Linked DNA regions of Anolis sagrei. The protein of the gene in region 1 interacts with the protein of each later gene in a pairwise test. Links are inferred from orthologs where the notes say so. Each region holds a gene or a part of one and is shown in the gene's direction. Other genes may lie near its edges.

The links.
Region 2: the proteins of TRIM23 (region 1) and TRIM29 interact in binary tests that used the Homo sapiens proteins (3 or more experiments, as listed by UniProt). The link is inferred for Anolis sagrei from reciprocal best matches to the Homo sapiens genes TRIM23 and TRIM29.
Region 3: the proteins of TRIM23 (region 1) and SORBS3 interact in binary tests that used the Homo sapiens proteins (3 or more experiments, as listed by UniProt). The two-hybrid records come from large-scale screens. The link is inferred for Anolis sagrei from reciprocal best matches to the Homo sapiens genes TRIM23 and SORBS3.
Region 4: the proteins of TRIM23 (region 1) and NEK6 interact in binary tests that used the Homo sapiens proteins (3 or more experiments, as listed by UniProt). The link is inferred for Anolis sagrei from reciprocal best matches to the Homo sapiens genes TRIM23 and NEK6.

The regions. Positions count from the first base shown.
Region 1 is NC_090022.1:268,041,612-268,049,101, forward strand, and holds the start of TRIM23 (E3 ubiquitin-protein ligase TRIM23), read left to right. Parts: upstream 1-4,472; 5' UTR 4,473-4,515; coding exon 4,516-4,647; intron 4,648-6,218; coding exon 6,219-6,381; intron 6,382-7,490. Other genes in the region: TRAPPC13 (trafficking protein particle complex subunit 13), read right to left, coding at 4,052-4,097.
Region 2 is NC_090027.1:37,820,039-37,827,866, forward strand, and holds the start of TRIM29 (tripartite motif-containing protein 29), read left to right. Parts: upstream 1-4,828; 5' UTR 4,829-5,086; coding exon 5,087-5,920; intron 5,921-7,828.
Region 3 is NC_090027.1:1,016,648-1,023,979, reverse strand, and holds the start of SORBS3 (vinexin), read left to right. Parts: upstream 1-4,323; 5' UTR 4,324-4,406; coding exon 4,407-4,580; intron 4,581-7,332. UniProt on the Homo sapiens protein: Vinexin alpha isoform promotes up-regulation of actin stress fiber formation. Vinexin beta isoform plays a role in cell spreading and enhances the activation of JNK/SAPK in response to EGF stimulation by using its third SH3 domain.
Region 4 is NC_090031.1:625,962-633,090, reverse strand, and holds the start of NEK6 (serine/threonine-protein kinase Nek6), read left to right. Parts: upstream 1-4,116; 5' UTR 4,117-4,241; intron 4,242-4,513; exon of another isoform or gene 4,514-4,535; intron 4,536-7,129. UniProt on the Homo sapiens protein: Protein kinase which plays an important role in mitotic cell cycle progression. Required for chromosome segregation at metaphase-anaphase transition, robust mitotic spindle formation and cytokinesis.

The DNA.
Region 1 (7,490 bases):
AGAAATTTGTAATAATTGTAATAATTCCACTAGGTTTGCTTGCTCTTTTTAACACTCAGACAAAACCCTTCAAATGTTTTTTAACCGCTTTACTGATTATAAGAAATTGGAGAAAAATATTCCATTCATGGCTTCTTTGCCTAACAACTCCACCACTGAACCTTCTCAAATTGCTCACTGTACTCATTTTTTACAACCCAGTTGTTTTCAATGAAGTTCAGCTTCTATCTGAAAACAGTTGGCACCAAACATAAAGAATTGTGTTCATGACAGAGGAAGATACCTAACAGACCCTGTGGGAAAGGTGTGTGTAATTACATTTGTAGAGAGGAGCTATTCTTCCAGCACCAGCTGGTTGTGGAGTTATTAAGAAGGGCTACAAATTGCATTGTACAGATTAAGGGAATCCCTGTTTCAGAGGCAATGACATCCAAGTCTCAAGAGGAGTTTGGCCTTTTTTTCCAAGGCATCACAGTGGAAATAAAAATAAGGATTACTCATTTCAATTTTTTCCTTTTAGTTATTTCCAACATGGTAACCCTAAGGCACAGGTTTGCAGCTTGGGAGTTCTCCTGGACTCATAGCTGAGTTTGGATCCCCAGGTTTCGGGGGTAGCGAGGGGAGCATTTGCATAATTAAAACTTGTGTGCCATTTGTCCTCATACCTTGGGAAGTCAGTCTTGGACACGGTAGTCCACACTCTGGTTACATCCCGTATAGACTACTGCAACGCACTCTACTTGGGGTTGTCTTTGAAGACTGTTCAAAAGCTTCAAATGGTCCAACGGGTGGGAGCCAGATTGCTCACTGGAGCAGCGTACAGGGAGCATACAGCCCCTCTGTTATGTCAGCTCCACTGGCTGCCAGTCTGCTACCGAGCACAATTCAAAGTGCTGGCTTTAGCCTATAAAGCTTGAAATGGTTCCGGCCCAGCTTACCTGTTCGAACGTATCTTCCCCTATAAACCACCTCAGAGATTAAGATCGTCTGGGGAGGCCCTGCTCTCGGTTCCAACCCCTTTGCAGGTGTGACTGCTGGGGATGAGAGACAGGGCCTTCTCAGTGGTGGCCCCTTTGGTGTGGAATTCCCTCACCAGGGATATTAGATCAGCCCCCTCCCTCCATAAGACCTTCCATAAGAGAGTGCAAACGTGGCTCTGTGACCAAACCTTTGGAGAACTTGTGCAATAGAGAGATATGGAATGTTGTGCAATGAGTATTGGAACAGCCCAGATTACGCTTGAGGATTACGTTATTGTGAAGGTATTTCCATAAATGCAGGGTAGAAATGTCACAAATAAGCAAATAAATAAGGCAGTGGTTCTCAGCCTGTGGATCCCGAGGTGTTTTGGCCTACAATTCCCAGAAATTCCAGCCAGTTTACCAGCTGATTTTCGGGACCCACAGGTTGAGGGTCACTGCCCTATGGTGACCCAGGGCCCTTCCACACAGCCATATACATTATAATTTCCTCCTACGAACCTGTGCGATCTCTCCGATCTTGGGGGAGGCCCTCCTCTCTCTCCCGCCTCCATCACAGGCACGGCTTGTGGGGACGATGGAGAAGGCCTTCTCTGTGGTTGCCCCCCAGCTCTAGAACTTGCTCCCCAAGGAGATTAGACAGGCACCCACCCTGACAGTCTTTAGAAAAAGTTTAAAAACCTGGCTTTTCCTGTGTGCTTTTGGGGACTGAACTATCAATTTCCATGCCATGTCCTGTTCCAAGTCCAACTTGACTTTCTGATGCTCTTCATCTTATCTCTAAGTTGAAGATTAATTCTACTGTTATCCCGTTTGAGCCCCCTCACAAATTATAGCACTTTCTACCTACCCCACCTATGAGTTTTATCAATTTCTATCCACTTTTAGTCATGAGCCTCGCTCTCTTTTTCTAATTCTATTACCATTTTATCGTGTGTTTTTATTATGATTTTGTTATTTTCATTTTATTATGTTATTATTAAGTATTTTATTTGATGTTATTGTTTTGTTTATATGCATTTTGCTCTATTGTAATTTCATTTGGGCTTGGCCTCATGTTAGCTGCCTCGAGATGGTGGAGGGGTATAAATAAAGTTGATTATTATTATTATTATTATTATTATTTGAAACACAACAAGATGAGTCCACAGCAGACAAGATCTCTCTGCTGGCTGTTGTATTGGATCACATGTCAGACACTTCTAAATGGTGTATTTTAATATCTGATAAATGTTTTTTAATGTTTATGTATTGTATGTGAATTTGTGTCTCAGTATTGAATGTTTTCTGTGTATATGCTGTGCTTCGCCCTGAGTTCCCTTCGGGGTGAGGGCGGAATATAAATGTTTTACATAAATTGTCGAAGGCCTTCATGGCCAGAATCACTGGGTTGTTGTAGGTTTTTTTTCGTGCTATATGGTCATATTCTAGAGGCATTCTCTCCTGACGTTTCACCTGCATCTATGGAGCCCCCGGTGGCGCAGTGGATTAAAGCACTGTGCCGGCAGGACTGAAGACGACAGGTCACAGGTTCGAATCCAGAGAGAGGCAGATGAGCTCCTTCTATTAGCTCCAGCTCCTCATGCGGGGACATGAGAGAAGCCTCCCACAAGGATGATAAAACATCAAAAATCATCCAGGTGTCCCCTGGGCAACATCCTTGCAGACGGCCAATTCTCTCACAACAGGAGCGGTTGCTCCTGACATGACAAAAACAAAACAAAACACCTGCATCTATGGCAAGCATCCTCAGAGGTAGTGAGGTCTGTTGGAAGTAGGAAAATGGGTTTATATATCTGTGGAATATATTTGTTTTATGTGTGTGTGTGTGTGTGTGTATTTCTATATATATATATATATATATATATATATATATATCCCACCCTAGTCTTTCCACAGATATATAAACCCGTCTAGAACAGGGGTCCACAAACTTTTTAAACAGAGGGCCAGGTCACAGTCCCTCAAACAGTTGGAGGGCCGGATTATAATTTGAAAAAAAAACATGAATGAAAATCCAACAAATGCTACGTTCAGCAAAGGACAAGAGGGATCCTCTCACCTCGGCAGGAGTCTACCGTATACCATGCAGCTGTGGACAAGTCTACATAGGGACCACCAAACGCAGCATTGCCCAGACACGAATCATGGAACATGAAAGGCACTGCAGACTACTTCAACCAGAGAAGTCAGCCATAGCAGAGCACCTGATGAACCAGCCTGGACACAGCATATTATTTGAGAACACAGAAATGCTGGACCACTCCAACAACCACCATGTCAGACTACACAGAGAAGCCATTGAAATCCACAAGCATGTGGACAATTTCAACAGAAAGGAGGAGACCATGAAAATGAACAAAATCTGGCTACCAGTATTAAAAAACTCTAAAATTGCAACAGCAAAACAGCAGAGAGGAAACAACCAGGCACATCTTAACACCTCTCAACAGAACATTTTCCCAGGCTCAGCCAGGCCTTCAAATGCTAATGAAGGTGGTCAGCTGAAACATTCACACCTAGCTCCAGCAGAGAAGAGCTCTTTGCCCCACCCCAGTCATTCCACAGATATATAAACCCATTTTCCTACTTCCAACAGACCTCACTACCTCTGAGGATGCTTGCCATAGATGCAGGCGAAACGTCAGGAGAAATGCCTCTAGAACAGTGGTTCTCAACCTGGGGTCCCCAGATGTTTTTGGCCTTCAACTCCCAGAAATCCCGGCTAGTTTACCAGCTGTTAGGATTTCTGGGAGTTGTAGGCCAAAAACATCTGGGGACCCCAGGTTGAGAACCACTGCTCTAGAACATGGCCATATAGCCCGAAAAAACCTACAAGAACCTCATGAATGAATTCCTATGCACACTGCACATATCTTATTTGTAGTGCAAAAACACTTTAAAACAATACAATAATTAAAATCAAGAACAATTATAATAAACATAAGCTTATTAGTATTTCAATGGGAAGCGTGGGCTTGCTTTTGGCTGATGAGATAGGATTGAAGGCCTCGGGCCTCCACTTCAGAGCCTCCATGAAGTGAAGGGAAAGCGAGCCAGGCTGGACATACCTTTCAAGGCCAGGAGATGCTCCTGCTTGGGCTGGGTGACATCCATGGCCTCAGCCTCGCCACTTCGGGGCCTCCTCCTTTAGACGCACAAAATCCCTCCAGCTTCTGCCGGAAGCACTTCCCCTTTTCTCCCGCCTCCACCACACAACGAAATGAACCCTCTCTGCCTTTGGCCCACTCTCTGTTCGCCCTAGCGTTGGGAACTACATCCCCCAGAATGCCCTTCGGGTAGGCGTGCTGAGCTTCCTCCAAGCTGTCAAGGCAAAGCATGATGGTAGCTGTAGTCTTTCGCGACTGGGAAGGAGCATGAAGCGTGACGTCGAAGGAGACATGCGCAGTGCAATAGGAAACCAAATCTTCGGCGGTTCTCATTGGTGTGACGTCAGCGCGCAGACCCTCCCCGCTGTTTCCAGGGAAACTACGCTGTGGGCGGAGAAAGAGCGGGGAGCGAGCGGAGTGGGCGGATGCTGCTGCTGCTCGGGCTTTCTCCTTCCCTTTCCAAGATGGCGGCGCTGAGTGTAAACAAGGTCGGGGCTGGCGCAGGGATAGATGCCGGGAGCAGGCCGGGACGGAGCCCGGGCGGCCCGGTAGTGAAGGTGAGGAGAGCGGGAGAGGCCCGGGAGGCTTTCCTTCGAGGCTCGCCGCCTTTGGGGGTGGGAAAGGCCATGAAACCCTTCGGCTGTAGAGAAGGCCGCAAATATTTCTGCAGTAGGATGTGATCCTTCTGTGGATCGATTATCTGGTCGACTGTGGGTGCATCTACACTTTCATATTAATGCAGTTTTGACACCACTTTAACTGCCATTGCTCAATGCTGTGGGATCCTGGGTGTTGTAGTTTTGCAAGGCCTTGTCTGTCAAAGAGAGTAGGTGCCTCAACAAACTACAAAGCACAGGATTGCTATAGCATCTTTGAGCCCCTCCAGACAGCCATATAACCCAGAATATCAAGAGAGATGATCCCACAATATCTGCTTTGAACTGGGCTGTCAAGAGTCCGCACTGCCATATAACCCAGTTCAAAGCAGATAATGTGGGGTTTTATAAAGCTGTGTGGAAGGGGCCAGAGTCAGCAGCTAAAATGCGGTCAAACTGCATTAATTCTGCAGTGTAATCTATATAAATAAAAATGTAATGTTCGGGTTGTTGTAGGTTTTTTCAGGCTATATGGCCATGGTCTAGAGGCATTCTCTCCTGACGTTTCGCCTGCATCTGTGGCAAGCATCCTCAGAAGTAGTGAGGTCTGTTGGAACTAGGAAAAAAACAGACCTCACTACCTCTGAGGATGCTTGCCATAGATGCAGGCGAAACGTCAGGAGAGAATGCCTCTAGACCATGGCCATATAGCCTGAAAAAACCCACAACAACAGTGATTCTGGCATTGAAAGCCTTCGACAATACAATGTAATGTTTGTTTGTGGGATTAACATAACTCAAAAACCACTGGACGAATTGACACCAAATTTAGACACAAGACACCTCTCAGGCCAACGAGTGACCATCACTCAGAAAAACACTGGAAAACACAGTAGAAGGGTCTTAAAAGCCACAAACAAAAAATACATTGCAACACGTGCAAAACCACATATATACCGCAAACACACGTATATACACATATACAAATAGATACACACATATGCACATATATACACACACAAAACACATATACACAGACTGGGCCACAGCAACACATGGCAGGGGACGGCTAGTAATAATAATAAACTTTATTTATACCCTGCCACATTATGTTGACTTTTGTATTGGTTGAAATTAAACATAGTCAGTTAATGAAACCTCTGTGAGTGAGGCTCCTGTATAGAAATTATTTTTATTCTGCCTTGAATTTCATGATGGCAGAAAGGCAGAATCTAAATAAAGTAAATGTCCACCCAGGCCCTCTTTTCCTCCATGAATCTGGCATATTTGCAGCAGCACTAGAGGATGGCTGAGGAAACACACTTTAGATACTACGTTACAGCAGTTGATCTACAGTAAAAAAATAAAATCTGTAATAAAACCTGAGCTGAGAAAGAATGGGATTCTGCTTTAGGGTATTCTTTCTCTATTATTTCTACCTCTGGTATCAAACTTTCTGTTAAAGAGGAAATGCCTAGTAACACACCTACTTTGTTAACTGAGGTATGTCTGTACTCCTTTGTAACTTTTAGGTTCTGGAATGTGGAGTCTGTGAAGACGTATTCTCATTACAAGGAGACAAAGTTCCTAGACTGCTTCTGTGTGGCCACACTGTTTGTCATGACTGCCTCACTCGACTTCCTCTCCATGGCAGAGCAGTTCGATGTCCTTTTGATCGGCAGGTTACTGAGCTAGGTAAGATACAGAAATAGTAATAACATTAACATTGAAATAATCATATTGTGGCACCAAAATTCTGAAATTTAGTCAATAAAAGCATAATTATATTTAAGCTTTATTCATATAGCTTTTGTGCGTTGTATTGTTCTAGACAAAGACATATGTAAATTATATTAGAACATTGTAATTGTAATTAAGTTTTTATTTTAGTAGTGCAAGCGTAGCTTTAGAAACAAACCCATATTGGTTGGAAGGTAACTCAAACATTTTGACTGTGCCATTCAAAAATAGTAGCCCTTCTCTGTGCTACAAAAGTTGTGGAAAATTTTACAAATTAGTGAAATGTAACCTTGGAGATTGTCAGAGTTCTATGGCATTGAATTAATTGGCAAATATTCTCAGAATTGGGCTATTTATTTATCATGTCAGGAGCGAACCAAACAGTTGTATTGTATTTAAAAAACACACAGAGAGGATTTGCAAACTCTATTAAATGTCCTTTGACCAGTACCTGGCCACCTGGAGTGCCTCCGGCGCTGCCACAAAAAGGTCCTCCATTGTGCATGCGGCAGGGCTCAGGTCGCACTGTAGTAGGTGGTCTGTGGTTTGCTCCTCTCCACACTTGCATGTTGTGGATTCCACTTTGTAGCCCCATTTCTTAAGGTTGGCTCTGCATCTCAATGTTCAGTGCCTTCCAAGTCACGCAGTTTTCTGTGTGGCAGGGGGAGTCTCTCATTTGCTATCAGCCATTGATTGAGGTTCTGGGTTTGGGCTGGCCTTTGGTAAGTGTGGTTGGATAAGCTTTAAAATTAAACCCAGGATGTAAAAGTTACTGAGTCCAGCAAGGGATTTTTCTCCGTAGTCAGCTTAACTAGACACGAAAGCTTTGTTTCTTTGAGCATGTTCCATAGCTCACTAAGCTATTTCAACTGCATATTTTTAAATAAATTTCTAGCTTTGTAAAGAAAGCACCTATGGTCAAAACATAGCCTGCTGTTCATGATAATGCAATATCACTGGTGGCAGAATTAGATTAGGAGAAATATGATATAAATGAGGTTGTGTTTCTTATGGAAGGGGAGCTTAATCATATTTTCTGTAATGCAGTCTGTGCATTTGGAAGT
Region 2 (7,828 bases), on another chromosome or scaffold:
GAGGAGAGCATGAAAATGAACAAAATCTGGCTACCAGTATTGAAAAACTCTAAAATAAAAACAGTAAATAAAGAACAACACACTAAAAACAGAGGAAATCCAGAAAAGAAGCGATGAGGGCTAGCTAACACCTCCCAACAAGGATGCTTTGAGGCAGGAAACAGCCAGGCTTTGAAGCTGCAAGACCATTCAATGCTAATGAAGGTGGCCAATTGCAACATTCACACTTGCCTCCAACAGACAAGAGTTCTTTCTCCACCCTGGTCATTCCATAGATATACCAACCTCACTTGCGTAGTTTCCAATAGATCTCACAACCTCTGAGGATGCCTGCTATAGATGTGGGTGAAACGTCAGGATAGAATGTTTCTGGAACATGGTCATACAGCCCAGAAGACTCACAGCAACCCAAACCAAAGAATGCTGGTATCTCACCAAGATGGAAGCCCAAGTTTGTGAAACACTGGATCCAATCAGATATCTTGGGATGAACATGGCAATGTAGTATATTTTTACACCAGTTGAGTTATGCTATGTGGGGTGTTTACACTGTTGACATAATGCAGTATGCAATCACCTTAACTGCCATGGCTCAATGCTATGGAATCTTGGGAGTTGTAGCTCGGTGAGGCATTTGCCCTCTTTGGCGAGGAGGCCAAAGACCTTATAAAACTACATAGCATAGCAATTCAAGGCATAGCCATTCAAGAGGTACAAAACTGCATGAATATCATTTATGGACTACTCTAGAATACACCAGTTTACAAGTTTGTAGAACTGGTAGGCAAATTATGTCATGCCAATGCACACTGCAATTTGCACATGAGAGTTAAAGGAAGTATTGAATAGGAACAACTCTGCAGTGTAGACACTTTCAAAGCACACTGATTCCAGCCAACTTTTCCTATACCTTGTTAGAAGCTTGTTTATCCAAAGTACCCTTCGGCTTGAAAAAGCTTGGTTTCCCAGCGGAACAGCTTAAATTCCCCTAGACTACCAACCTAGATATAAATGTGTTCTTTCTCAGTGTGCAGTTGCTGATTACCAGCTGCTTTTTCAATCCTCAAGTGTTAATCTGGATTTGAAAGGGGTTTAAAAAAAAAAAAAAGCACCCTGCATATTTGTCTCAGTATATCTGAGAACACGAATCTCCACCCTAGAACATTCTTGAATTGTCTGGAGTCAGTTTCCCCACGGCTATTGCCTTAAGAGATCATTTCAGCCCAAGAAAGGCAGAGCAAGGAAGGAAGAGGAGGAACTTCCCCTGATATATATGATCTTCAAAAACATTTGTCTGGCACTTCTGAAAAAGGAGGTGGAAAAAAGATATCACGTGTCCCAACAATGGATGTCCCCATGTCTCAAATGAATAGAGTTTTTGATATTTAGCTGCCATGGTTCAATGGTATTATTATTATTGTTGTTGTTGAAAGCTTTCATGGCCGGAATCACTGGGTTGTTGTAGGTTTTTTCGGGCTATATGGCCATGTTCTAGAGGCATTCTCTCATGACATTTCACCTGCATCTATGGCAAGCATCCTCACAGGTAGTGAGGTCTGTTGGAACTAGGAAAATGGTGCCCCCGGTGGTGCAGTGGTTTAAAGCCCTGTGCTGGCAGGACTGAAGACCGACAGGTCGCAGGTTCGAATCCCGGGAGAGGCGGATGAGCTCCCTCTATCGGCTCCAGCTCCTCATGCGGGGACAAGAGAGAAGCCTCCCACAAGGATGACAAAACATCAGAAATCATCCGGGCGTCCCCTGGGCAACGTCCTTGCAGATGGCCAATTCTCTCACAACAGGAGTAGTTGCTCCTGACACGACCAAAAAAAAAAAAAAAACTAGGAAAATGGATTTATATATCTGTGGAATGACCAGGGTGGGACAAAGAACTCCTTTCTGTTGGAGCTAGGTGTGAATGTTTCAACTGACCACCTTGATTAGCATTTGATGGCCTGGTTGTTTGGTGTGGCTTGTTAGTGCCTGGGGGAATCTTTTGTTGAAAGGTGATTAGATGTCCCTGATTGTTTCCTCTCTGTTGTTTTGCTGTAGTAATTTTAGAGTTTTTAAAAATACTGTTAGCCTGATTTTATTCATTTTCATGGTCTCTTCCTTTCTGTTGAAATTGTCCACATGCTTGTGGATTTCGGTGGCTTCTCTGTGTAGTCTGACATGGTGGTTGTGAGAGTGGTCCAGCATTTCTGTGTTCTCAAATAATCTGCTGTGTCCAGGTTGGTTCATCAGGTGTTCTTCTATGGCTGACTTCTCTGGTTGAAGTAGTCTGCAGTGCCTTTCATGTTCCTTGATTCGTGTTTGGGCCATTCTGCTGCGTTTGGAGGTCCCTATGTAGACTTGTCCACAGCTGCATTGTATACAGTAGACTCCTGCAGAGGTGAGAGGATCCCTCTTGTCCTTTGCTGAACGTAGCATTTGTTGGATTTCCTTGGTGGGTCTGTAGATAGTTTGTATGTTGTGTTTCCTCATCAGCTTCCCTCTGCGGTCAGTGGTTCCCTTGATGTATGGCAAGAATGCTTTTCCTCTGGGTGGATCTTTGTCTTTACTCTCGTGGCTTGTTCTCAGTCTTATTATTGTTTGAAACACAACAAGATGAGTCCAGAGCAGACACTCTGCTGGCTGTTGTATGGGATCACACGTTGGACACTTCCCAAGTGTACTAGGACTGTGTGATGGATCGGCGAATAATGCGTGCAGATCCCAGTAAGCTGGCTTTTTGCAGCTGGCAAATGGTAATTTTGTCAGCGCCAATTGTGTTTAAGTGCAGGCCAAGGTCTTTAGGCACTGCACCCAGTGTGCCGATCACCACTGCGACCACCTTTACTGGCTTGTGCCACTGCCTTTGCAGTTCGATCTTTAAATCCTCATATTGTGTCAGCTTTTTCAGGAGTATTGTGCTTCAAAACTCTGTCTGACTGAATCTGGAATTATTATTATTATTATTATTATTATTATTATTATTATTATTACCCTGCTTTATGTCTCCCAAATGAGACTCAAAGCAACTTGACATAAAAATTGGGTTGTAGGGTTGCTGTGAGTTTTTGTGGCTATGTTCCAGAAGCATTCTCTCCTGACATTTCGCCCATATCTATGGAAGGCATCCTCAGAGGTTGTGAGGTTGGAAATAGGCAAATGAAGCTTATATCTGTGGAATGATGTCCAAGGTGGGAGAAAGAACTCTTGTCTGCTTGAGGTAGGTTGCAATTGGGCACCTTGGATTAGCATGGAATAGCCGTGCAGCTTCAAATACAGCATCGGCCAAACATGAATCAAGGAACATGTAAGGCACTGCAGACTACTTCAGCCAGAGAAGTCAGCCATAGCAGAGCACCTGACGAACTAGCCTGGACACTGCATATTATTTGAGAACACAGAAATGCTGGACCACTCCATGTCAGATTACATAGAGAAGCCATTGAAAACCACAAGAAGCATGTGGACAATCTCAACAGAAAGAAGGAAACCATGAAAATGAACAAAATCTGGCTACCGGTATTTTAAAAACTCTAAAAACAGGACAATAAATAAAGAACAACACTCTGAAAACAGGAAATCCAGAAAGGAAAAATCAGGTTCAGTTAACACCTCCCAACAAAGGATTCCCTCCAGACAGGAAGCAGCCTGGTTTTGAAGCTACAAGATCATTCAGTGCTAATCAAGGTGGCCAATTGCGACATTCACACCTGTCTCAAGCAGACAAGAGTTTTTTCTTCCACCCTGGACATCATTCAACAGATATATAAACCTCACTTGCTCAGTTTCCAACAGACCTCACAACCTCTGAGGATGCCTGCCATAGATGTGGGTGAAACATCAGGAGAGAATGCATCTGGAACATGGCCATACAGCTCGGCAAACTTACAGCAACCGATTCATTCCGCTCATGAAAGCCTTCAAAAACACAAATTGAGTTGTAGTTTTATGAGTTCTTTAACCTACTTTGCCAAAGAGGATTGGTGCCTCACCAAACTACATCTCTTAGTTAAAAGTGATATCAAGCTTCATTAATTCTACAGTGTAGACGCACCCAGAGAAAGAGAGATCTACAGCCAATAGCAAGAAATGCATAGGATGGATATCTGCTTTTTGCTAATGGGTTGTCAAAGCGGTGCCCCTGTAACCAGAAAAATATTTTCTCTGACATGTGTGGAGGCATCTCTGCTATTAGTAGCACAATCCTTTTCTCATTCTCTCGCCACATCTTCTAATGTAAAGTGTGCAGATGTTGTTGCTTTTCTTACTCCCATCAGACAAATGAGACTTGCACTAAGGCATAGGAGTGCAAAGGACCATGCCTGAGATGGCGCTCAAAAAGCTGAAATGCTCAACTGCCCATATGTTCTGTTCCGACCCCGCGTAGAGAACCCAGATGGCCATAGAGCAGATTTTCACTTCTTGGAGGTCTGGAATTGGCATGCTCTTCCCTAGCGTTTTGTGTGAGGTGGCCAGCTGCCAATCCTAGGCTTCCACTTGCATTACAAGCCTGATGCTTCATGTGGACATACGCCAAAGGGAACCATCTAACAAAATTGCCTTCGACTCGACATCAACTGGACAACCCAGGCCTCCGAAAAGATTGCTCCACGCCTGCTGTCAATGGGGATCCCTTTTCAAAAACAGGTGGCTGAACTGGTTTCCGTGGCCTCTTTGTGCACGTTATTTTATTTTATTTTTGAAACAAATAAATAAATAAGTGGAAACGACACGTAAACAGATCTTCATTCCCCAACCTGGTCGGACAGGAATCTTCTTGGGTGTGTCAGCCTTATATAATTAGCTATGTAGCTGGATCTCTCTGATGTCTTTTGTAACATCTCTCGTTGGCTGGCTCTACCCAGCATAATTCAGGTGTTCGTTTTCTCCTCCCCGTTCTTCCAGGTGTGGCATTTTGGTAGTGCTTTCGCTGTCATTCCTCCTCCACTCCTTGCTGGGACAGGAGCTTGAAAAGGTTTGCCTATTTTTGTGACAAGAGCAGGTGAGGCTGAACTTTGACTATTTCCTAACAGGGACCCAAACTTGCAGGCCAGAAAGAAAGAGACAAAGCCCAGAAAGATAGAAGAAAGCCTACGGCATGGAGACGGCAAGGACAAATGGGACCACCGGGAAGCCAGAGGAAGGGAAGAATGTAACCTCTCCTAAGAAGGAGGGAGACGAAGGGAAGAAACCCACCAGCCCAAATCGAGGGGAGAAGGACACCAACAAAAGCAATGCCTCAGTGGAAACAGGCCAACTGAAAAATTCTATTTATGCTGGGGGTGACTGGAAGAGACCAATCATCCAGTTTGTGGAATCATCTGATGAGAAAAGGTCGACCTACTTCAACATGGAGCCCGGGGAGTCCAAGAAGTCCAACTTCCCAAATGTGCAAATTGGAGAACCTCGGAGGCCCCAAGTTTCCTTCCCTGAGAGAGGAGATCTGAGGAAGTCCCTATTCAACATGGAAGCAAAGAAACCCTTTGCTAATGAAGCGGAGGAGAAAAAGTCATTGTATTCAAGTGGGGCGATTTCAGATCTCAGGAAGCCCATCCTCCGAGAATCAGGAGAAGCCAAGAGGAACAACTACAACCGGGCCAGCCGAAGTCCCACTTCCAGGCCCCGTGTTCTGGAAGAGGTCCTCTGTGACTCCTGCATTGACAACAAGCAGAAAGCAGTCAAGTCCTGCCTGGTGTGTCAAGCCAGCTTCTGCGAGCTCCACCTGAAGCCCCACTTGGAAGGGGCGGCTTTCCGGGACCACCAGCTCTTGGATCCCATCAAGGACTTTGAAGCCCGGAAATGCCCCGTCCATGGCAAGACGATGGAGCTCTTCTGCCAGACGGACCAGGTCTGCATCTGTTACCTCTGCATGTTCCAAGAGCACAAGAACCACACCACGGTGACGGTGGAGATTGAGAAATCTGGGAAAGAGGTACGGTCCTATTTTATGTCTTCTTTGTTTACTTGCTGTATAGGTTACCCTTTTCTCCCTACCAGGACCACCGGGTGAGGCATGTTAAGCCAAAGACAAGTGTCCCATTTCTAATACAGCTCAGTATCTCAAATAATGATGGCTGATCTATCTTTCCTTGCTACAGAACCCACAGGTGTTGGTTGGTATGGGCATATCCCTCATTTGATTGCTCAACATATGATGACTTGCAGTATATGTTCAGGTTGTACTTAAAGTTGCATGCTATGTGAGGTAGATAAGAAAATAATATTATTCGAAACACAACAAGATGAGTCCACAGCAAACAAGATCACTCTGCTGGCTGTTGTATTGGATCACACATCGGAAACTTCCCAAGTGTCTAGGATTGTGTGATGTATTGGTGAATAATGTGTACAGATAATTAAAAGACGATTCAGAAGACTACTGCTACCGAAGTGAAGATGATTGGAAGCCGAACCTAAGCCCATTTTCCTAGCCAAACCCACCCTATACCTTCTACCCCTAACCCAACCATACCATTCCTGAGCTTACCCTCCCTCCTTTTTCTTTTAACTTAATCCTGTAATAAGAAAACTTCAATAAAAATATTTTAAAAAATAATCTCAGTAAGGTGGCCTTTTGCAGCTGGCATATGGTAATCTTGTCAGCGCCGATTGTGTTTAAGTGCAGGCCAAGGTCTTTAGGCACTGCACCCAGTATGCCAATCATCACTGGGACCACTGGGACTATCACCACCACCACCAATAATAATAATAATAATAATAATAATAATAATAATATACTAGACGCTTGGGAAGTGTTCGACTTGTGATTTTTTATATGAAATCCAGCATATAGATCTCATTTGCTGTGAGATACTGTGCATTTGTGTCAACAACAACAACAACAACAACAACAACAATAAGGTTTTCCAAAAAAAGGCAAATGTTTTTGTGAGTCCATGGAGCTGACTCATAAATATGTTAACGTTCTTGCTTGATGCCAGTTGAAGAACATGCAACTTGTCCATCTTCACAACCATCTCTTATTTATTTATCTCCTGCTTCCCCAGGATTGTGACCCAATAACTGAACCTTATCATTATCGTCTGCTTTCAAATAATCTCTGATTAACGGTGACCCTGAATAACTAAGATTTATCTCTTGTGTTGACTCTCCAACCAGTAATTGATAATTGGATCTACTCTACAATATTCAATCTGCCGAATCCTTGCTACCAATGTGGGCTTGGGGAGCTTTACTTTGGCATGGAAAAAAGTATTATATTTCAGCATTGTATTGTATGGAAACTGGGAAAGCCGACATCTTTCCTTAAGTGGTACAGGTTTTGTTTTGCTGGGGAAAGGATGAAAGGAAAAGAGAACATGGATCCTGTGCCTTTAACACTTAAGCAGAAGAGAGTTTCAGCTAGCGACTGGTTCAACTTGTCCTGGCACAGGCCTGCAGGCTGAGTAAGGCTGTACGTAGCGGAAGGCACTTTCTCCCTAGAACAGGCAAGAGTCTATTAAAAGAAAAAAAAGTTGGCAAGAAGAAGGAAATATAGATGTCGGGTGCAGATTTGCTCAGAGCCAATGACTTATGTGAGCCTGAAAGACATGGAGACCTGGACTATCTTTGAGAAGAAAGGCTGGATTCATACAGTTGGGAGAGACCTCATGGGCCATCCAGTCCAACCCCATTCTGCCAAGAAGCAGGAAAATTGCCTTCAAAACACCCCTGACAGATGGCCATCCAGCCTCTGTTTCAAAGCCTCCAAAGAAGGAGCCTCCACCACACTCTGGGGCAGAGAGTTCCACTGCTGAACAGCTCTCACAGTCAGGAAGTTCTTTCTGATGTTCAGGTGAATTCTCCTTTCTTGTAGTTTGAAGCCATTGTGTCTGAGTCT
Region 3 (7,332 bases), on another chromosome or scaffold:
CTCGATGCCTCCGGTCACAAACGGCAGGGCTTGGATCCATTTCTGGGCTTCCCATCAGGCCCTTGTCTGGCAGCCAAATGGAGGCATTGCCGTCTCTGATTCCCATGGAAGGAATGATGCGGCCTCAGGAGCACCCCTCTCCAAGGGATGATTAGATAACATGCGCAAAACAGGGGTGTGGCGGCACATTGGGAGCCATGCAGGAAATACGCAGAGAGAATAGAGCTCTGGACACGTCCAGTTCCACATGTTCCCAGCAAAAAGCTTCGGAAATCAAATGGTGGGGAATGAACTTAAACAGGGAAAATCTATCCCTTTTTTTTTTGTCCAAACTGACCTCTAGATCGGAGCTTCCCAAACATTCTTAGGCATGCATCGCAACATGGCGATTCAGTTTTACTTGCAAACCGAGGGTTCAACCAACCCCCTTATATCAGTGTTTCTCAACCATCCTAATACTACAACCCCTTAATATAGTTCCTTAATATGTTGTGGTGACCCAAAAGCATAACATTATTTTTGTTGATACTCCATGACTGCAATTTTGCTCCTGTTATGAATCGTAATGTAAATATGCTGATATGCAGGATGTATTTTCATTCACTGGATCACATTTGGCACAAAGACCCGATATGCCCAATTCTATGATTCTATCCCACAGGTCAAAGGCCACAGGTCCGAACAGGTATCCCCCAGCTTCACCAACTGGGAGTGACTCTCCGGGAAGAAGCGGAGCCACTGCAGTCTACAAAGATAGCCTCCCTCCAATATAGTCAGACTCAAGATGGGGATGTGGCAGGATAAATGGGCCTTTCCATTGCAAAGCTGCCCAAGGGAGCTTCTCACACCAAAAATGATGCCAGGGAGTTAAAGGAGCAAGGCGGAGAAGCAAGCCGTCTTCCCACAGCTGGTGCATTGCCCACAGCAAGGTCACTGCCTGGCCACGTTCCTGTGCCAGCGCAGGGGGTGCATGCCTGTTGTGTCTGGCCTTCCGCTGTGACAATGCAACCCATTTCACATTAATTATTCAGCCCCAAACAAGGCTGTACAGTGTGCTCCGTTGCACAGCTGCATTCCTGCCCGGGCGCATAAGACCGGACGGGGGAGGAGAGGGAGCCAAGGTTTCTGTGTGGGCAACAAACTCATACACTCCTAGAGTTCGAGGAGACCACAAAGTCCGTCCAGTGTGCAACCCTTTCTGCCAGGCAGGAACACACAATCAAAGCAGGCCCAACAGATGGCCATCCAAGCCTACAAAAACTGCACCAGACTCCAAGGTGGAAACTCTGTCAGGAAGTTCTTCTTAATGCAATGTTCCTCATCCTTCCTAATGCCGCGACCCCTTAATACAGTTCCTCACGTTGTGGTGACCCCCAACCAGAACATTCTTCATAAATATGTTTTTGCTGTTGTTATGAATTGTAACGGCGCTCCATGCAGCCATGCCCGCCACATGACCTTGGAGGTGTCTACGGACAACGCTGGCTCTTCGGCTTAGAAATGGAGATGAGCACCACACCCCAGAGTCAGACATGACTGGACTTAATGTCATGGGACAACCTTTACCTACCTATGAATTGTAATGGAGATATCTGATATGCAGGATCAGGCCCGTAGCCAGGATTTTGATTCAGGGGGTGCTGAGTTTGGCCCATTTCTATCATTGGTGGGGTTCACAATGCTCTGTGATTGTAGGTGAACTATAAATCCCAGCAACTACAACTCCCAAATGTCAAGATTCTATTTTCCCAAACCTAAGCAATGTTCACATTTGGGCATATTGAGTATTTGTGCCAACTTTGGTCCAGATCAATCGTTGTTTGAGTCCACAGTGATCTCTGATTGTAGGTGAACTACAACTCCAAAACCAAAGGACTCTGCCCATCAAACCCTTCCAGTATTTTCTCTTGGTCATGGGAGAACTGTGTGCCAAATTTGGTTCAATTCCATCGTTGGTGGGGTTCAGAGTGCTCTTTGATAGTAGGTGAACTATAAATCCCAGCAAACTACAACTCCCAAATGACAAAATCATTTTTTTTAGTGAAGGACATACATTGGGTTGTTAGGTGTCTTGTGTCCAAATTTGGTGTCAATTTACCCAGTGGTTTTTGAGTTCTGTTAATCCCACAAACGAACATTACATTTTAATGTATATACTAGCCGTCCCCTGCCACGCATTGCTGTGGCCCACATGGGGGTTCTGTGTGGGAGGTTTGGCCCAATTCTATCATTGGTGGAGTTCAGAATGCTCTGTGATTGTAGGTGAACTATAAATCCAAGCAACTACAACTCCCAAATGTTAAGATTCTATTCCCCCCAAACTCCACCAGTGTTTACATTTGGGCATATTGAGTATTTGTGTAGAGTTTGGTCCAGATCTCTCATTGTTTGAGTCCACAGTGATGGGAGAACTGTGTGCCAAGTTTGGTTCAATTCCCGCGTTTGTGGGGTTCAATATGCTCTTTGATTGTGGGTGAACTATAAATCCCAGCAACTACAACTCCCATATGACAAAATCCATTTTTTGAGTGATGGTCACTCCTTAGGTTAGTAGGTGTCTTGTATCCAACTTTGGTGTCAATTCGCCCAGTGGTTTTTGAGTTCTGTTAATCCCACAAACGAACATTACATTTTTATTTATAGACTAGCCATCCCCTGCCACGAGTTGCTGTGGCCCAGTCTGTGTATATATGTTTTGGGTGTGTGTATATGTGTGTATAAGGTAAAGGTAAAGGTAGTCCCCTGACATTAAGTCCAGTCATGTCTGACTCTGGGACTCTGGTGCTCATCTCCATTTCTAAGCCGAAGAGCCAGCGCTGTCCGTAGACACCTCCAAGGTCATGTGGCCATTGGCATGACTGCATGGAGCGCCGTTACCTTCCCGCCGGAGCGGTACCTATTGATCTACTCACATTTGCATGTTTTCGAACTGCTAGGTTGGCAGAAGCTAGGGCTGACAGCAGAAGCTCACGCCACTCCCTGGTATCGAACCTGTGACCTTTCGATCAACAAGCTCAGCAGCTCAGTGCTTTAACCCACTGCGCCACCGGGGGCTCCATATGTGTGTATATATTTGTGTATATGTGTGTTTGCGTATATATATGTGTGTGTGTGTGTGTGTATGTGTGTGTGTGTGGTTTTGTGCATGCATTGTAATGTATTTTTTCAGTGTTTTTCTGAGTGATGGTCACTCGTTGGCCTGAGAGGTGCCTTGTGTCCAAATTTGGTGTCAATTCGCCCAGTGGTTTTTGAGTTACGTAAGTCCCACAAACGAACATTACATTTTTATTTATAGACTAGCCGTCCCCTGCCATGAGTTGCTGTGGCCCAGTCTGTGTATATGTGTTTTGGGTGTGTATATATGTGTGTATATATTTGTGTATATGTGTGTTTGCGTGTGTGTGTGTGTGTGTGTGTGTGTGTGTATATATATATATATATATATATATATATATATATATATATATGTGGTTTTGTGCATGCATTGTAATGTATTTTTCAGTGTTTTAGGAGTGATGGTCACTCGTTGGCCTGAGAGGGGTCTTGTGTCCTAATTTGGTGTCAATTCGCCCAGTGGTTTTTGAGTTACGTCAATCCCACAAACGAACATTACATTTTTATTTATAGACTAGCCGTCCCCTGCCACGAGTTGCTGTGGCCCAGTCTGTGTATATGTGTTTTGGGTGTGTATATATGTGTGTATATATTTGTGTATATGTGTGTTTGCGTGTGTGTGTGTATATATATATATATATATATATATATATATATATATATATATGGTTTTATGCATGCATTGTAATGTATTTTTTCAGTGTTTTTCTGAGTGATGGTCACTCGTTGGCCTGAGAGGTGCCTTGTGTCCTAATTTGGTGTCAATTCGCCCGGTGGTTTTTGAGTTACGTCAATCCCACAAACGAACCTTACATTTTTAGGTTCTTGTGGGTTTTTTCGGGCTATAGAGCCATGTTCTAGAGGCATTTCTCCTGACGTTTCGCCTGCATCTATGGCAAGCATCCTCAGAGGTAGTCAGGTCTCTGAGGATGCTTGCCATAGATGCAGGCGAAACGTCAGGAGAAAAATTGCCTCCAGAACATGGCTCTATAGCCCGAAAAAACCCACAAGAACCTAGTGATTCCAGCCATGAAAGCCTTCGACAAGACATTAAATGTTTATTTATAGATATGGAGTTACACTTAGAAAATGTACCTGTTCCGACTTACATACAAATTCACCCGAGGAACAAACCTACAGAACCTATCTTGTTCATAACTTGGGGACTGTATTAAAGCCACCCTCTCCTTTTGTTACCCACCCAGGGCATCTCGTCTAGTGAGCGTCATCCTCGTCTTGGTCCTGGAGGCCCTCTCTCCTCCTCCTCCTCCTCCTCCTCCATCGCAGCAGAGATGCCCAGCCTCATCTCTAGGGCCGGGGCCCCCGAGGCCAACCTGGGACTCAGCCTGGACGACTTCATCCCTTCGCACCTCCAGAGGAGCTCCCCGTTTGCCCACAGCTCCAGCCTGATATCTCCTCAGGCCACATCTACTCCGCAAGGCAGTCAAGTCCCTTCGCGACGCAGGGTGAGTTTTGGGGAACTTGCCACACAAACATTTCAGAGAAACAGAGTCGTTTGTTTCCCAAGGGTTCGTCTACACTGCAAAAGTAATGCAGTTTGAACCCACTTAAACATGTTATGGAATCCTGGGGGTTGTGCTGGTGCTTCACCAAACTACAACTCCCAGGATCCCACAGCATTGACTGTGTAGACATGGGCAAACTTGGGCCCTCCAGGTGTTTTGGACTTCAACTCCCACAATTCCTAACTTACTTACTTAGGCGATCCCTTATAGTCCGAGGATGATGGTCCTCCAAGGTAGGTGTTCTGGTTGTGGGCCCATAGGTGACTGTGGAGCCCAATTCTTGATCTGCATCTTCTCCCACAGTGAGGGCATTGGTTTCCAGATGGAAGGCCAGTGGTTCTCAACCTGGGGTCCCCAGATGTTTTTGGCCTACAACTCCCAGAAATCCTAACAGCTGGTAAACTAGCTGGGATTTCTGGGAGTTGTAAGCCAAAAACATCTAGGGACCCCAGGTTGAGAACCACTGCGGTAGGCGGTCCTGGTCAGGGTTGGTTTGATACGCCTTCCTCTTGGCATGTTTCTCTCTTTCACCCTCCATTCGTGCCTCTTCAAATTCTGCAGCACTGCTGGTCACAGCTGAACTCCAGCTGGAGTGATCAAGGGGCAAAGATATCCCAGTTCTCAGTGTCTGTGCCAGGGTTTTTAAAGTTGGCTTTGAGCCTATCTTTCAATCTCTTTTCCTGCCCACCAACATCTGTTTTCCGTTCTTGAGTTCAGAGTAGAGCAACGGCTTTGGGAGACGGTGGTGGGGCATCCGGATGATGTGGCCAGTCCAGCAGAGTCGATGGCAGAGGAGCATCACTTCAATGCTGGTGGTCTTTGCTTCTTCCAGCATGCTGATATTGTCCGCTTGTCTTCCCAAGAGATTTGCAGGATTTTCCGGAGGCAGCGCTGATGGAATCGTTCCAGGAGTTGCATGTGACGTCTGTAGACAGTCCATGTTTCGCAGGCATAGAGCAGGGTTGGGAGGGGAATGGCATCTTGGTCTCCCTACAGATGTCCCGGTCCTCAAACACTCTCTGCTTCATTCGGGAAAATGCTGCACTCGCAGAGCTCAGGCGGTGTTGTATTTTGGTGTCGATATTGACTTTGGTGGAGAGGTGGCTGCCAAGGGAGCAGAATGGTCCACATTTTCTAATGTTACACTATTAAGCTGCATTTCTGGCATTGGAGAGGGTTGGCTGGTGACTTTTGCTGGAAGAACACATTGGTTTTCTCGATGTTTAATGACAGGCCGAGCTTCTCATATGCTTCTGCGAAGGTGTTTAGAGTGGCTTGTAGGTCTTCTTCTGAATGCGCACAGACGATGTTGTCATCAGCATACTGGAGTTCTATGTAGTTGTAATTTTAGTTTTTGCTTTCAGTCTGCTGAGATTAAACAGCTTGCCATCTGTCTGATAGATGGATTGTTGTAGGTTTTTTTGGGCTATATGGCCATGTTCTAGAGGCATTCCTCTAGAGAATGCCTCTAGAACATGGCCATATAGTCCAAAAAAACCTACAACCCAGTGATTCTGGCATGAAAGCCTTCAACAATACATTGTCCAATAGATGATTTCCACTCCAGTGGGAAGCTTCCCATCAACAAGATGAAGTATCATAGCGATGAAGATGGAGAATAAGGTTGGGGCAATAACACATCATCCCTGTTTGACACCCGATTCCACCTTAAATGGGTCACTTTGGGAGCCATTGCTGTCCAAGACTGTTGCCATCATGTCATCATGGAGGAGCCGCAGGATTTTCACAAATTTTTTAGGGAACCCAATTTTTTGGAGGCCCAGAGAGCGCTGTTAGGAATTGTGGGAGTTGGAGTCCAAAATACCCAGAGGGCGCATGTTTGCTCATACCTGATGTAGATTGTGCCGTTGCGCCTGGGGGCTCTTATTCTCAATAAAGGAGGGATGGACGTGGCACCTTTCCCCCAGGGGATTGTTTCTTGCCCTCCTATAGGAAACTGGAACTCCCAAAAACCCAAAACGCTGTAAATAGCTCAAAATAAGTTTTATTTATCACAAAGTCATTTCTTTAAAGCAATGAGCTGGAAAACTTTAGAGGGGTGAAGGAAAACATATATTACAGTCTCAATCAGTCCTGGGTCCAAGGGGTTTGAAGCTGAGAAGCCTCTCCAAGTTTCCTCTTTCCTCAATGGCTGTGAATGCTGGGGCAAACCACAACCCCAGTTCAGATGGCCTATGTTTTGAAGATTCGGGATCTTCCTTTGGTGCCAAAAGAACCGACTTGAAGGCGCCTGGGTCTCCTCAATAATTGTCCAGGATGATCTGGACATAAAGCATGAGTCCCAGGGGTAAAAAACCTCAGAACTGATGCTAAGAGGTAACTTAAATCAGGGTCCTTTAGAATCAAGTCTTTTACTCATGTCCATCTGGTACGAACTCTGATGGCAGAATGAAGAAGAAAAAGGAAGTTCTCCCCTCTTGCAGGAAGAGGTGGAGCCAAACAGTACTGATTGACAGCTACAAGCAACCAATCCATACAACTATACATAAGCAGTGTTAAAAAGGGGCAGGATTAAGCATGATACAACAGTTTAAGTCTTACAACTAACAGTTCTATACATAGGTGGTGCCACTCGCACCGTCACAAGATGCATTCATAGTCTGCAATCCATACTCGCCAATCTGCGACAAAAATTGCAATGTTTTGTGCTGTGTCCCATTGTGAGCAACCA
Region 4 (7,129 bases), on another chromosome or scaffold:
GGAAAGATACTAGAGACAAAGCGGAAGTCCTTTGAATGCCACATCATGAGGAGACAGCAAAGCCTAGAGAAGACAATGATGCTGGGGAAAGTGGAAGGCAAAAGGAAGAGGGGCCGACCAAGGGCAAGACGGATGGATGGCATCCTTGAAGTGACTGGACTGACCTTGAGGGAGCTGGGGGTGGTGACGGCCGACAGGGAGCTCTGGCGTGGGCTGGTCCATGAGGTCACAAAGAGTCGGAGACGACTGAACAAATGAACAACAACAACAATGCCTCTGATCAATGTACTGGTATGCTTGCATGTGAATGATCACTGCAATGGCATCCGCTTCAGCTGAATCGCTCATTAAACCTCGATGCCTCTTCTTCGCCTTGGCAAGAGTCTCATTTCAATTATTAATATCAATAAAATTACTGGAATTAGGCTTCTCTGACGGCTTGCCAAGTACAAGGGACTCTCTTTGGTGCGGTCCTAGAGGTCTCTCTTACTGGGGAGACCCTCCTAAAGTCCGTATTGACTTCATAAGGTTTCACTGGGTAGTTGTAGGTTTTCTGGGCTGCCTTTCCATGTTTTGGAAACATTCTCTCCTGACGTTTCTCCCACATCTATGGCAGGCATCCTCAGAGGTTGAGGGGTTTGTCAGAAAATGGTCAAGTTGGACTTATATACCTTTGGAATGATGTCCAGGGTGGGAGAAAGGACTCTTGTCTGTTGGAGGCACGTTTGAATGGTGCAGCTGGTCACCTTGATAATAATAATAATAATAATAATAATAATAATAATAATAATATTTTTTGGTCATGTCAGGAGCAACTTGAGAAACTGCAAGTCGCTCCCGTTGTGAGAGAATTGACTGTCTGCAAGGATGTTGCCCAGGGGACATTGCCTGGATGATTTGGTGTTTTTATCATCCTTGTGGGAGGCTTCTCTCATGTCCCCTTTGCATGAGGAGCTGGAGCTAATAGAGGGAGCTCATCCACCTCTCCCTGGATTCAAACCTGCGACCTGTCACTCTTCAGTCCTGCCGGCACAGGGGTTTTATAATAATAATAATAATAATAATAATCTTTATTTATACCTCGCCATCATCTCCCCAATGGGGACTCGGGGCAGCTAACATGAGGCCAAGCCCAAAAATGCAATACAACACAATAAAATACAGAATACAGAAAGAAAATTACATCGGAAGATAATTACAATTGTTGTTGTTGTTCATTCGTTCAGTCGTCTCCGACTCTTCGTGACCTCGTGGACCAGCCCACGCCAGAGCTCCCTGTTGGCCGTCACCACCCCCAGCTCCTTCAAGGTCAGTCCAGTCACTTCAAGGATGCCATCCATCCATCTTGCCCTTGGTCGGCCCCTCTTCCTTTTGCCTTCCACTTTCCCCAGCATAATTGTCTTCTCTAGGCTTTCCTGTCTCCTCATGAGGTGGCCTTCAAAGGACTTCCGCTTTCCCTCTAGTCTCCTTCCCTCCAATGAGCAGCCGGGCTTTCTTTCCTGGAGGATGGACTGGTTGGATCTTCTCGCAGTCCAAGGCACTCTCGGAACTTTCCTCCAACACCACAGCTCAAAAGCATCTCTCTTCCTTGGCTCAGCCTTCCCTAAGGTCCAGCTCTCACATCCGTAGGTGACTACTACAGGGAAGACCATGGCTTTGACTAGGCAATGGATCTTGGTTGCCAGTCTGATGTCTCTGCTCTTGACTATTTTATCGAGATTGGACATTGCTCTCCTCCCAAGAAGGAAGCGTCTTCTGATGTCCTGGCCACAGTCTGCGTCTGCACTCATCTTTGCGCCTAGAAATACAAACCCTGTCACGGCCTCCACGTTTTCTCCCTCTATTTCCCAGTTGTCAATCATTCTTGTTGCCATCATCTTGGTTTTTTTGACGTTTAGCTGCAACCCGGCTTTTGCGCTTTCTTCTTTCCCCTTGATGAGAAGGCTCCTCAGCTCCTCCTCGCTTTCGGCCATCAGAGTGGTGTCATCTGCATATCTGAGGTTGTTCATGTTTCTTCCAGCCATTTTCACCCCAGCTTTGCATTCATCCAGCCCCGCACATCCTCGCATGATGTGTTCTGCATACACGTTAAAAAGGTTGGGTGAGAGGATGCAGCCTTGCCGGACGCCTTTCCCAATCTGGAACCCGTCTCCTGTTCCGTGGTCAGTTCTGACTGCGGCTCCTTGGTCCTTGGACAGATTCCTCAGGAGAGAGGGAAGGGGGCTTGGGATGCCCATCCCACCAAGAACTTGCCACCATTTATGATGATCATTCACACAGTCCAAGGCTTTAGAAGAGTCAATGAAGCAGAAATAGATGTTTTTCTGAAACTCCCTGCCTTCCTCCATTCTCTAGCATCCGGATATTGGCACTCTGGTCTCTGGTTCCTCTGCCTTTTCTAAACCCAGCTTGAACATCTGGCCACTCTCTCGCTCCATGTCTGGCTGGAGTCTTCCTTGCAGGATCTTGAGCATTCCCTTCCTGGCATGATGAGAAATAAGGATCACCGCCTTGTTGTGGCGCTGGAGCTTGAGCACCTCAATGATGTCATGAGCGAAACCGTGAAGGGCCACCCAAGACGGGACGGTCGTGGCAGAGAGGTCAGACCAAGCGTGATCCCTGCGGAAGGCAATGGCAAACCACCCCAGTATCCTTGCCAGGAAAACTAAATGGACCAGATTACAACAGCAAAGTAAAATAATAAAGCAAATTCACACAAAATAAAATCGAACAAGATGGGCAGGCCAAATGGACAAGGTGAAATAATAAAATAATAATAATAAAAAAATTAGCATTGAATGCCCTTGCAGCTTCAAAGCCTGGGTGCTTCCTGCCCTTCTGGGCATCTTGCCTAGTTTCCAACAGACCCATTAATAAGCCACGCCCACTCCCGAAGCCACGCCCCACACCCTCCCCTCATTTCTCCAATCCGGCTCCGCCTTCCTATCCTCACGCGCATGCGCGAGTCAGCCTCTCTTTTAGACGGGAACGGAGAGAAAGGATAAGAAGGGGGCGGGGCCACCAGCGAAGCCACGCCTCCTTAAAATTATACCAAACTGACGCCTTCCTTCCCATGCGCATGCGCGCTCCAGAGAGTGTCTTTTTTGACAGGAACGAATAGAGGTAAAACGAGAAGGGGCGGGGCCACAAGGAGACCACGCCCCCTCTCTCCCCTTCATTTCCCTTTTCTAATCCAGAAGCCTTCCTTCTCAGACGCATGCGCACACGCGTGTGTGTATCAATCTTGGAGGGAAACGAGAAGGGGCGGGGCCACAAAGAAACCACGCCCCCTTTCCCTTCATTTCTCTGACTCCTTCCTTCTCAGACGCATGCGCACACGCGAGAGAGTGTCAGTTTTAGAGGGAAACGAGAAGGGGCGGGGCCACAAAGAAACCACGCCCCCGTCCCTTCATTTCCCTGACTCCTTCCTTCTCAGACGCATGCGCACACGCGAGAGAGTGTCAGTTTTAGAGGGAAACGAGAAGGGGCGGGGCCACAAAGAAACCACGCCCCCTTTCCCTTCATTTCCCTGACTCCTTCCTTCTCAGACGCATGCGCACACGCGAGAGAATGTGTGTTACTCTTGGAGGGAAACGAGAAGGGGCGGGGCCACAAGGAGACCACGCCCCCTTTCTCCCCTTCATTTCCTTTTTCTAATCCAGACTCCCTCTTTCTCAGACGCATGCGCACACGCGAGAGAATGTGTGTTACTCTTGGAGGGAAACGAGAAGGGGCGGGACCACAAGGAAACCACGCCCCATTTCCCTTCATTTCCCTGACTCCTTCTTTCTCAGACGCATGCGCACATGCGAGAGAGAGAATGTGTGTCAGTCTTGGAGGGAAACGAGAAGGGGCGGGGCCACGACGAAGCCGTCTTTTTCCTCTCACGCATGCGCGATAGAGAGAGAGAAACGCTTGAGTTCTGAGACAGGAGCGGAAAGTAGGGGGCGGGGCTAGCAAGGAGCGGCCTGCGTGGCAAGCTTCTTAGCGAGGGTCGGGAGCGCGCACGCACGGCGCACGCACGCCTTCTCCTCTCTCTCTCTCGCGAGCGCGCACGCTCCCTGTGAGAAGAGAGTTTGGAGTGCTGCTGGCTCTTGCCCGGAAGGGGGCGGGGGCGCGCGGCGGCGGGGGCGTGCCTCGGGGGCGCGCCTGGGCCTGGAGTTTCCCCCTCAGAGACAGAGAGTGGAAGGGAGCGCGCCTGGGCCTCTCTCTCTCTCTCTCAGCCAGGCCTCTCCGGGCAGGTAAGGCAGGCCTGGCCTCTTAGGCCTCGGCTTCTTTCTTCACCTCAACTCCCTCCCTCCCTTGAGTTCCCCTCACTCCAAAGCCCCCCCTCCCCTTTAAACCCTCGCTGTCAATCATTCCCCCCTCTGAGGGGGGCGGGTCTTCCTCCTTCCCTCCCTCCCCCAAGGACACCCCCGCCCTCAGGAATGCCAATGGAGGGGGATTGTTTACTTCTTTGGGTCTCCCTTTGGGCCCCCTCCACACACCTGTATCCCTTCCACATGGAACTGGGTTACACGCCAGTCTGGACTCAGGTAACTCAGTTCAAAGCAGGCCTCCTGCTACCCCTCTATTCTGCTTTGGTTAGACCACTTTACCTGGAATATTGTGTCCAATTCTGGGCACCACAATTCAAGAGAGATCTTGACTCTAAGCTGGAATGTGTCCAGAGGAGGAGGCAGACTCAAATGATCCAGGGTCTGGAGAACAAGCCCTATGAGGAGCGGCTTAGGGAACTGGGCATGTTTAGCCTGAAGAAGAGAAGGCTGAGAGGAGACATGATGAGGGCCATGTATAAATGTGTGAGAGGAAGCCACAGGGAGGAGGAGGGAGCAAGCTTGTTTTCTGCTTCCTTGGAGACTAGGACGCAATGGGACAATGGCTTCAAACTACAAGAGAGGAGATTCCATCTGAACATGAGGAAGAACTTCCTGGCTGTGAGAGCCGTTCAGCAGTGGAACTCTCTGCCCCGGAGGGAGTGTGGTGGAAGCTCCTTCTTTGGAAGCTTTTAAGCAGAGGCTGGATGGCCATCTGTCAGGGGTGCTTTGAATGCAATATTCCTGCTTTTTGGCAGAATGGGGTTGGACTGGATGAGGGCCCAGGAGGTCTCTTCCAACTCTTTGATTCTATGATTCTGGGTTGCATGGCTGTGTTGAAGGGCCCTGAGTCAGGAATGCCAATGGATGTTGATTGTTTACTCCTTTGGGGCGCCCTGGGTCTCCCTTTGGGCCCCCTCCACACAGCTGTATCCCATCCACATTACAGTTACAATGGAACAGCCACCTGACACAGGGATGCAGTCGTTATATCCAATGGCTGAATCCATGACATTGTTAATCTCTCCAACGTCAGAATGGGAACTGATCAAATCTGGCATGGTGTCATTTCCAGGTGAGTTATGTAAAACTGGGTTAAATGCCAGTCTGGACTCAGGTAACTCTTCCCCTTTCGCCAATCCTTGATTTCCCGGTTTACATGCCTGTGATGAAGGGCCCTGAGTCTACACACATGTATAACCCAGTTCAAAGCAGGCATTGTGGACATTGTGCCTTGATTTCCAGAGTTAGATGCTTGTGATGAAGGTCCCCGAGTCTACACACATGTATAATCCAGTTCAAAGCAGGCATTGTGGACGATCTACCTTGATTTCCAGGGTTAGATGCCTATGATGAAGGCCCCTGAGTCTACACACATGTATAATCCAGTTCAAAGCAGGCATTGTGGACATTGTGCCTTGATTTTCAGGGTTACATAATACAATATTATAATTATAGGTTTTATATTACATGTAATATTACTAATATTGTAGCAATATAATGGTATAGTACAATATAGTAATATATAATACTTATATTGTACTATGCTATATATATATATAGTAAGCCACTCTGAGTCCCCTTCGGGGTGAGAAGGGTGGCATATAAATGCCGTAAATAATAATAATAATAATAATAATAATAATGTGGCTTGGCCGAGCCCAAATACAACAATAAAAACAGCAGCAGCAACAACAACACAATAACTCAAAAAAACAAAAAAACAAAGCAATAACATTAACAACATCTAATGACGCAATTAAAAACAATGGCCGGGCCAAATGTAATAATTCAAATTAAAAAGTGCTGAGCATGGCAAGGTGGGGTGTTTGGAGGGGGATGGGCATATAAATGAATACATGGCTGTGAGAAGGTCCCTCAGTCTACATGGACATATAATCCAGTTCAAAGCAGATCTTGTGGATTTTATATAGCTGTGTGTAATGGGCCTAGTTGTCTAGTTGCCCCTTCTATGCTGCCATATAACCCAGAATATCAAAGCAAACAAAGCACATGATCTGCTTTGAACTGTGTTATACGGCAGCGTAGACTCAGGGCCCTTCCACGCTGCCATATAACAAAGATTATCAAAGCAGATAATCCACATGCTTTGCTTTGAACTGGGTTATATGGCAGTGTATATGAAAAGATGTTCTAAAGAACAGGGAGTCAGGTTGGTGTTCTGCTGCCCTCTCCAACATTAGTACCAAAAAGGTTACGAATCAGTTTTTGGTCAACTTTAGATTTGGTTTGGTTATTTGGGGTGCTGATTCAGAAAATTGCATTGGATAGACCACATCAGCTCCAGTTTCTAATACAGAACACATGCCATCCAGTAGTCGCCATCTGCTCGGCCAGAGAAAACCAGGGACCACTCTCCAACATAAGTACCAAAAGGGTTATGAATCGGTTTTTGGTCAATGTAAGATTGGGTTTGGTTATTTGGGGTGCTGGTTTTGAAAATTGCCTGTGATAGACCACATCGGCTCTAGTTTCTGATACAGAACATATGCCATCCCGTAGTCTGCTCTTCCACAGGGACCACTCTCCAGCATTAGTACCAAAAAGCTTACGAATCAGTTTTTGGTCAACTTTAGATTAGGTTTGGTTATTTGGGGTGCTGATTCAGAAAACTGCATTGGGTAGACCACATCAGCTCAAGTTTCTGCTACAGGACATATGCCACCCAGTAGTCGCCATCTGCTCGCCCACAGAATACCATATTTAATAAACTTCGGCACTATAAGAGGGCTTTGCAAGACCAGACGCTCTCGTTTCTCCCTTTCGCCTTCCGTTAGTTCCTCTTTGAATTC